Linked DNA regions of Daphnia pulex. The protein of the gene in region 1 purifies or fractionates together with the protein of each later gene. This does not show direct contact. Links are inferred from orthologs where the notes say so. Each region holds a gene or a part of one and is shown on either strand. Other genes may lie near its edges.

Region 1 (3,044 bases):
GAACCGATTTGAAACCGAAACGACCGTTGGAGATTCAAAACAGCTTCGACTGCAATTTACACAACTTGTTTCTTGCTTGTTTAATTTGTCTTTTACATCGTTCAATACAGAATTTTAAATTATTTACACATGAAATTCAGAATTCAAAGTATCTCAAAGTTTCCAATTAAATAAGGCGAGGCGAATAAACTGTGAGAATTACAAATAATGAAGTTCGCCCCGAACACCATTAAAAAAGCGTTCACTTCGATTAAACACATTTGTTTCACAAACGGGTGTTAAATAATAATAGCTGAAATGCTGAATATTCAAGTTTATTTAACCTCAAAATAATTATTTTTACTCGAAGTTCATAAGATAAGTTCAACCGAATTAAACAATTTTTGCTGAACAGAAGAACATAGACGTATATCTTTGAATTGACCCTTTGCGTTAGTAGGAACATTTTTTCTTAAAAACAAATTTAGAATAAGGCTTTCGTTAAATGCATTGCATTTTAAATCAATGCATTTTCAGTTTTTCTAAAAGGACTGTCAAAAAGGCTGAGATTTTCCTATTTTTAAAAGATGGCCTGTGGTTCCTTCCTTACGATAAGAAATAAAGTGTAAATATCGAAAATTAGAAAAAACACATTGGTGAAGTTTATTGATTTAAATATCGCAACATTTCACAGCTTCAAGACTTCAGCTAGCCCACCAAGAGAGCAAACCTAATCCTGATTCATTGATAGATGCCTATAATTGCAAATAAACAAAACATTAAAGTTTTACACATGAAAGTAAAAGAAATTTAACTATAGTAATGTTTCGGATTTCAAATTACGCACATTTATGCGATACGACAACCTTTTATTGTCTTTTATTGGATCTAGAGATGAGTCAGGTGCTTCATTACTGGGGCCAGAAGGTGTTGTATCAATGAAATACTCAGCAACTACTTTAAATCGGATTTCTTCACCTAAAAGAATACAATTACAATCAACACAAAAAGATAATTATCATAAAATTATGCTGTTATCTGTTTTTTTATAAACCTGTATCCATGAAAAGGTCATGTTTTCCATCTTCTGTTTGATATTCCCAAATCCAAAGATGTTCAGTTTCATCAAATCTGGAGTTTTTTTGCAAGTTCTCAGAAGAAATGAAGATGTCCTCAAAGAATCCCAAAGAAACTTGATGCAAATTTTTGATTATGCACAACTGTTAATAACAAATGAATAATCTTCAGTTACCTTGGACTGATTCCTTATCACAGTTTTTGATTCTACCAACAAGAATCTGCTCCATAAAAGGCCTGAATACTACATAACGAAATTCAACTTTGGTATGATGGCCACCATCACCTGGCAAAATGAAACTTTCTCCTCGTTTAATTATATCCCACAGAGCAATGCACAGTCCAACATCCAGAACTACCTAAATGAGAACAAATATTTTACTAATAAATGCATATGTCAATCATCATAGGAATTTAATTACTTTATTAGCAAACTTTAAGTTCAATTCTTCCGAAATAGCTTGATCAATATCCCGATTGAATTTTTCTGAAGGAACTCTTACAGTCTGCTTGACAAGAGCTAGAACGAACATGGTTTAAACAATTAACTAATAAGCCCAAAGATTTATTTTGATTCAGTGTGGTCCGTCTGTGTGTTTCGTGTTTATTAAGCACGAACAAAGTCGTGAAACACCGGCTAAGCACGTTGTTTCTTTTAACTTCTACACGTGTAATGTCGTCTGCTACTCATGCAAGTGGGCGGGGCCGGGGTTACACTTTAAACCAGCTAGTCCAACTTGGCAACTTCCAACTCAACTCTAGTTCTAAATTCGAAGAATAAAATCTAAAAAATAATTAAATTTTCATTGAAAAATTCCATTAGAAAATGGATAATTTCTTTTAGTCATACTAAGTTTATTCGGCACATCATTGGCATGTTACAGAGTTACACGCTGTTAAATGAATTTGTGAAAAATCGGTTTAATTTTAATGATCATGCCAATAATTCAAGAAACATTAAAAAAGAATAAAACTGTATTTTGAAACGACTCTTTTTAAGGGAAGACTTCACGATTTAAGGCTCCTCTTTTTTAAAACGTTTCCCAGTATCAGTATGATTAGCCTGATCATTGTTTCCGGGGGGAAAGCCATCGTAGTCATGTTGAAAACGACTTATAATATCTTTGATGAAATTATAATTTTTGAGTCCTTTAATCTATATTTAAAAAATATTATTAAAATAGTGAATTAGTAGGACAATTGTGTTAAGTGATGATGAATAAAGTTACATTGACGTTCAAGTTGTAGATTCCGTCATCGTCTTCTGTCGAATCTGTTTGCGCGACCAGAGGAGGAGGAGGAGGAAGAACAGCTCTTCTTTTTTTAATTTTTCCTTTCAACTGGGCCATGGAAGGAAGCTCGATAGGAATCAAGTTTGAAGAGTCTGTTTCGCTGGCAGTGGGATCATGTGAATGCATTTTATCAAATCTTGCTTCTTCAGCCCTAATATCCCGACCGGGACAGCTACATATACGAACATCACAGGCATATCGTCCAAAAACCTCGTATCGTCCTCCACTAGAAGAAGAAATGTAATGTAGGAATGTAGTTTTAATAATTATAAAAATTCTCTCATGGACAACTTACTTTGTCACAGACTCTAATGTAAAGATCAGTTTGGTGGGTCGTCGGTTCAAGCCTCCTTGGCAGCTAGACAGGCACATGAATTTGTAACACAATGACACTGACTGGGTCCCGGGAGCAGGAGGCTTCAGTGGAACGACAACCGAATGCCGCATATCATTGTGATCGACATATGTTGAATCATTGTCATCACAACGCAATACATGTGGAGTATAGGGCAACGGTGGACCAGTCCCCTTGTGGGCTGGGCACCGTTCAACGGGATCTATAGGAAGAAAATTTAAATAAATTGTTAAAAGGATACAGAGAAACGTTTAAATGTTATTATTTGCCTTGAAAGTGATCAGCCTTTGAATACACCATTTGTCCCCGAATGCAATATCTGTGGAATTCCTGTGAAAGGT
Region 2 (4,418 bases), on another chromosome or scaffold:
GACGAAGAATTTGAACCTGTCAAAATCCCGGTTCGTTCGCGCCACACTCGTGCGTCGTACTTGGATAGTGATGACGACATTGCACCCGTCAAGACTACCGGTACCACGACCAGGGCGCGCTACAGTGCCGCTTCGTGTTTGGATGATGATGCTAACGGAGAACCCGTCATGAAACTAGAGGTAAATTTATTTGAGCGCTTTGTGAACCACCCACGTATTTTGCATAGCGTAGCATATCTTAAAAATAGTTTTATTCTATAGCTGATAGAATAAGCTCAAATTATTAGAAATTACCGTTGGGTTCTAAGTTTTGATTCTATAAGTTGACTACATTTTTGTTTGATCAATTAACAAACCATTAGCTCACTTTCAGGATATCGAAGAAGATTTACGCAAATTGCGTGAGGCGACTTCGTCAGTGCTCAATCGCTTCGCCACGAAGACCAACACCCAACCCTCTACTCGGTAACGAACAAATCAAATTTTCACGCAAATGAACCAGATGGTATTTAATGAATATCAATAGTTTGTCTCGTTTCTTTTCGAGCTATCTGAACGATGATAAGGATTACGAGAAGAGAAGCTCAAGTTACAGCTCTGATAGCTACAGTCCTAGCTACAGCAGCTCGTATGCCAGGCCGTCGTCGATAAAGCCGGTCGACTCTTCATCTTACGATCCGCCCGTCTACGATAAGCGCTACTCAATGTACTTGTCTAGCCGTTCCACTAACAAGGATTCGGATTTGGAAAAAGACGCAGCAGGTAAACCACATCCTCTACCAATTGTAATTTTTTTTGTTACCTGCAAATGAACTTCTTAATTACAGGAAAATCTGATCGAGGACCGATCCCGCAGGCAACAGCAGAACCGGAGTCGTATTCGAGACGTAGAACACCAAGGGCTTCAGCTTCAAGCGACGATAACAGCAAAATCAATTCACGAATTGCTGTCATGTCCAAATACATTCTTTCAAAGAATAAGACAAAAAATTAAATAAATGACAAAGACGAATACATTTTTTTTTTCATAGATGGTTCAGTCTCAGGATAAATGCCCCATTTATTCTCTCTCCTCCGAAAGAAATAATTTACCCATACATTACATGTCTGTAAAATGCTGACGTATTAGTTTAGTTCGGACTGTTTGATACGCCGAATATACTTCAGCTTATACCGTAAGTATCGCGCTAACATCCAAGCTAACTGTTTATATCGTGTACAGTTACTGTGTCTAACGTGTATGTGTTATTTGCCTCAGAAAAAATAGAAATATAAAAACTCAACAAATTCCTTGAAATACTATTGGAAATAGGATTTTCTTTTTTTGAGAGGAGGGTGTTTATTGGCTATCAAAATAATATTTAATTTCTTATTATTTACCTTTACCCTATAATATATGTCCGTTTGTTTTCTAGAAAAGCGGTTTCGATTTGAACTGAATTAAACTGAGAGACGGTGGCGAGACGGTGGCGACATCTTGCAGTAAATTTTAAAAATAAATAAAAGCAGACGACACTTTTCACAATAGTCATTATTTGCCAATTTTTCCCTCGTCCAGACACGTGTTAAAGCTCAACGGAAAAATGAGTAAAAGTAAAGTTAAATATTCATCAAGCAAGGAATACATTGATGAAAGTAGGAATGAACTCGTGCTGACAGAATTCGAAGTTCTTAATGTAATACTACATAACAGAAATCTTCCTAAGTTCAACCAAATTTAATAATAAAAATAACTATTTAGGCTGAAGCCACAGACTTCCCAGGAAATCATCATGGGTTTGACGACAGTTGGAGTTTTGAAAAGTTCAAAAAGGTTCTTCTAAGAAAAGTTCTACACTATAAGTAGATAAAAAGAGAGCATTACCATTTTTTCTGATTTTGTAGAGGCTCAAAATTAACATTGTCCGCATGGAAAATATGGAAATGGAGTTTGATTTGATTGGTGTTGATCCAGCCATACCAAATGCTTTTCGTCGTATTTTGCTGTCTGATATTCCCACCATGGCCTTCGACAAAGTCTTCATGTTCAACAATACCTCAATCATCCAAGATGAAGTCTTGGCCCACAGACTGGGACTGATACCATTGAAAGCTGACCCAAGATTGTTTGAATTCAGAGCTGAAGGTATACTCCAAACACCCATTCTTTTCTTTGTCACCTTACTTCATATAACTGAATCTTTGTTACCCCATCTCTCATTTTAGATGATGATACTGGGACTCCTGAAGATACACTTGAATTTGAGTTAAAAGTGAAATGTTCGTGGAATCCTCAAAGGACTAAAGATCATACAAATCCTGAACACTTGTACAGGGATTTCAGAGGTAAGAAGGGAAACTCAAACCTTTTTTTTTCGACAGAATGCTGACCTACTTTTTTCAGTTTTGACATCTCATTTGAAATGGATTCCACTGGGTGGCCAAAAAGATATCTTTACCCCTGATGCAGTTGGACCAGTTGACGATAACATTCTAATCGCAAAAATGAGACCTGGTCACGAACTTGACATCAAATTGCACGCAATGAAAGGGACCGGACGAGAACATGCAAAATTCTCACCCGTTGGTTAGTTTTATTGTTTTTTTTTATGATTAAGAATTTTTGGACCGAGATTTAAACAAAAACTATTTTTCTATTTTCTCAAGCTACCGCATTTTACCGTCTCCTACCACAAGTGAAACTTCTTAAGGAAGTGGAAGGTGAAGCTGCCCAAAGATTACAAAAGTGCTTTTCCCCTGGGGTTATTGATTTGGTCGACTCAGGTTTGCTACATACTATATTTTTTCTTCTAGCTTAATTAGTGTGAAGCACTACCTTTTTATTCTATTTCAGGTGAAAAGAAGGTTGCCAAAGTCAACGATGCCCGATATGACATCTGCAGCCGCAACGTATTCCGTCACGAAGATCTAAAAGAGGACACTGTAAAGCTGACCCGAGCACGCGACCATTTCATCTGTAAGTATTGTTATTGGATTTTTGCTTATTCCTTACTTTAGCGATGCATTTGAAAATGTGTTTAGTTTACATCGAGTCTACTGGAGCACTGGCGCCGGAGGTCCTCTTCACTGAAGCCGCCAAGATCCTGTCACAAAAATGCCGTGTATTTTTGGATGAATTGAAGAATGGACTGTAGGAATGGTATCCTAAATAGACGCGTTGATTCATGACGATTACGCATTATTAGTTCACCTGGAGGCGTTTGTGCCGTTGATATAGTTATCACCCAGGATTCCAGCCGAGTGACCCAGAACTGCATTTAGAAACCGAAACCGGAGCTTTTCAAACGGAAGGAAGGGAAGACTTATTTAAAAAATTTGAGGGGTGGAGGCGAGCAACTAATTCTTCCTGGTTTTACGGAAGGATACCTATCCTTTTTCATATGTTCCTTTCCATCGCTATTTTTATTTGCCTTCTGCAACAATGGCTTCTGTTTGTTTCGCTACTGGTTTTACGAAACGTTGGCGCTAGACTTGCTAGATAAGCTGTAGTAGCCTCTTATTGACCTTGGATCCTAAGGTTTTGATTGTTTTGGATGTGAACCGAGATGTTCCTCCTTCTAATGTTCTTCTTCCTTCCTTCTCACATTTTGTTTACACCGCCAATTCGTTTTAGCCCATTGTGGAATATGCGTAGGTGGTGCCAAGAAAGTCTAGGCAGATGAGATGAAGGAAATGGGAAGAAGAACAAGAAGTGTATTCTGTTTTGTTTTTTATCTCCTCTCCCTTTCTCTTTCCCTTCTTCTTCTTCCTATTTTCTTTTCTCTCTTTCTCTTAAGTCTATTTCTCATTGACCGTGGCATCTAAATTTAGTGCTCGTGGAAGCTTGTGGAAGCTTGCGAGCTTGTGGAAGAGTTTTGTTTCGGACGTAGAGCACTCGGGTCGCTTTCCATCTCCACGTTCACTACAAGTACAGTCGACGACGCACTCTGCTTGGTGGCCGGACGAAAGAAAAACCGTCTCCCTCAATCAAAAGACCCCTTTCCCCCATCTGGGCCGATCGTGAAGTTGTTAATTAGGGAGATCTTTTTTCTCATTTGGACTTGGCTGGACAACAGAAATTGGGTAAGAGAATGCCTCATATAAATTTATGCCTATGATTGTCTATTCATTTTTATTTCGGTTTTGAACCCCTATCGTTTCCTATTTTCATTCTTCGGATCCGGAGAAGACGATTACGCAATGGCAGGCTACTACTCCAGTCAACGAGGATATGGTGGCTCCTACGGTAGCTCCTATGGCGGTTCATCATCGTCGGCCTACACGTCATCCCTGCGTAGCAACTATATGCCGGTAAGTCTCCCATTATTGGGGCGGTTGAAATCCCCTCAACTGTTTTCTTTTCTTCGTTCATTTTTTGCTTCACAGCCAAACCAAAAACAACAAAAAAAAATTTTTGTTTTTTGCTGTGATGACAAAAC

What was found.
Region 2: the proteins of DNA-directed RNA polymerase III subunit RPC8-like (region 1) and DNA-directed RNA polymerases I and III subunit RPAC1-like purify together in Homo sapiens (affinity purification with mass spectrometry; 5 studies listed by BioGRID and IntAct, counting the BioPlex papers as one, with this or other methods). This does not show direct contact. The link is inferred for Daphnia pulex from reciprocal best matches to the Homo sapiens genes POLR3H and POLR1C.

The regions. Positions count from the first base shown.
Region 1 is NC_060017.1:5,958,966-5,962,009, reverse strand, and holds DNA-directed RNA polymerase III subunit RPC8-like, read right to left. Parts: upstream 1,762-3,044; 5' UTR 1,590-1,761; coding exon 1,479-1,589; intron 1,416-1,478; coding exon 1,232-1,415; intron 1,172-1,231; coding exon 1,034-1,171; intron 958-1,033; coding exon 827-957; intron 735-826; coding exon 684-734; 3' UTR 619-683; downstream 1-618. Other genes in the region: cellular tumor antigen p53-like, read right to left, coding at 2,072-2,212, 2,286-2,574, 2,644-2,905, 2,973-3,044.
Region 2 is NC_060020.1:1,790,106-1,794,523, reverse strand, and holds DNA-directed RNA polymerases I and III subunit RPAC1-like, read left to right. Parts: upstream 1-1,519; 5' UTR 1,520-1,583; coding exon 1,584-1,676; intron 1,677-1,741; coding exon 1,742-1,813; intron 1,814-1,884; coding exon 1,885-2,125; intron 2,126-2,205; coding exon 2,206-2,325; intron 2,326-2,383; coding exon 2,384-2,566; intron 2,567-2,646; coding exon 2,647-2,763; intron 2,764-2,833; coding exon 2,834-2,956; intron 2,957-3,021; coding exon 3,022-3,134; 3' UTR 3,135-3,139; exon of another isoform or gene 3,140-3,168; intron 3,169-3,217; 3' UTR 3,218-4,052; downstream 4,053-4,418. Other genes in the region: uncharacterized protein LOC124192222, read left to right, coding at 1-180, 374-465, 527-762, 828-994; sodium/potassium/calcium exchanger 1-like, read left to right, coding at 4,180-4,290. UniProt on the Homo sapiens protein: DNA-dependent RNA polymerase catalyzes the transcription of DNA into RNA using the four ribonucleoside triphosphates as substrates.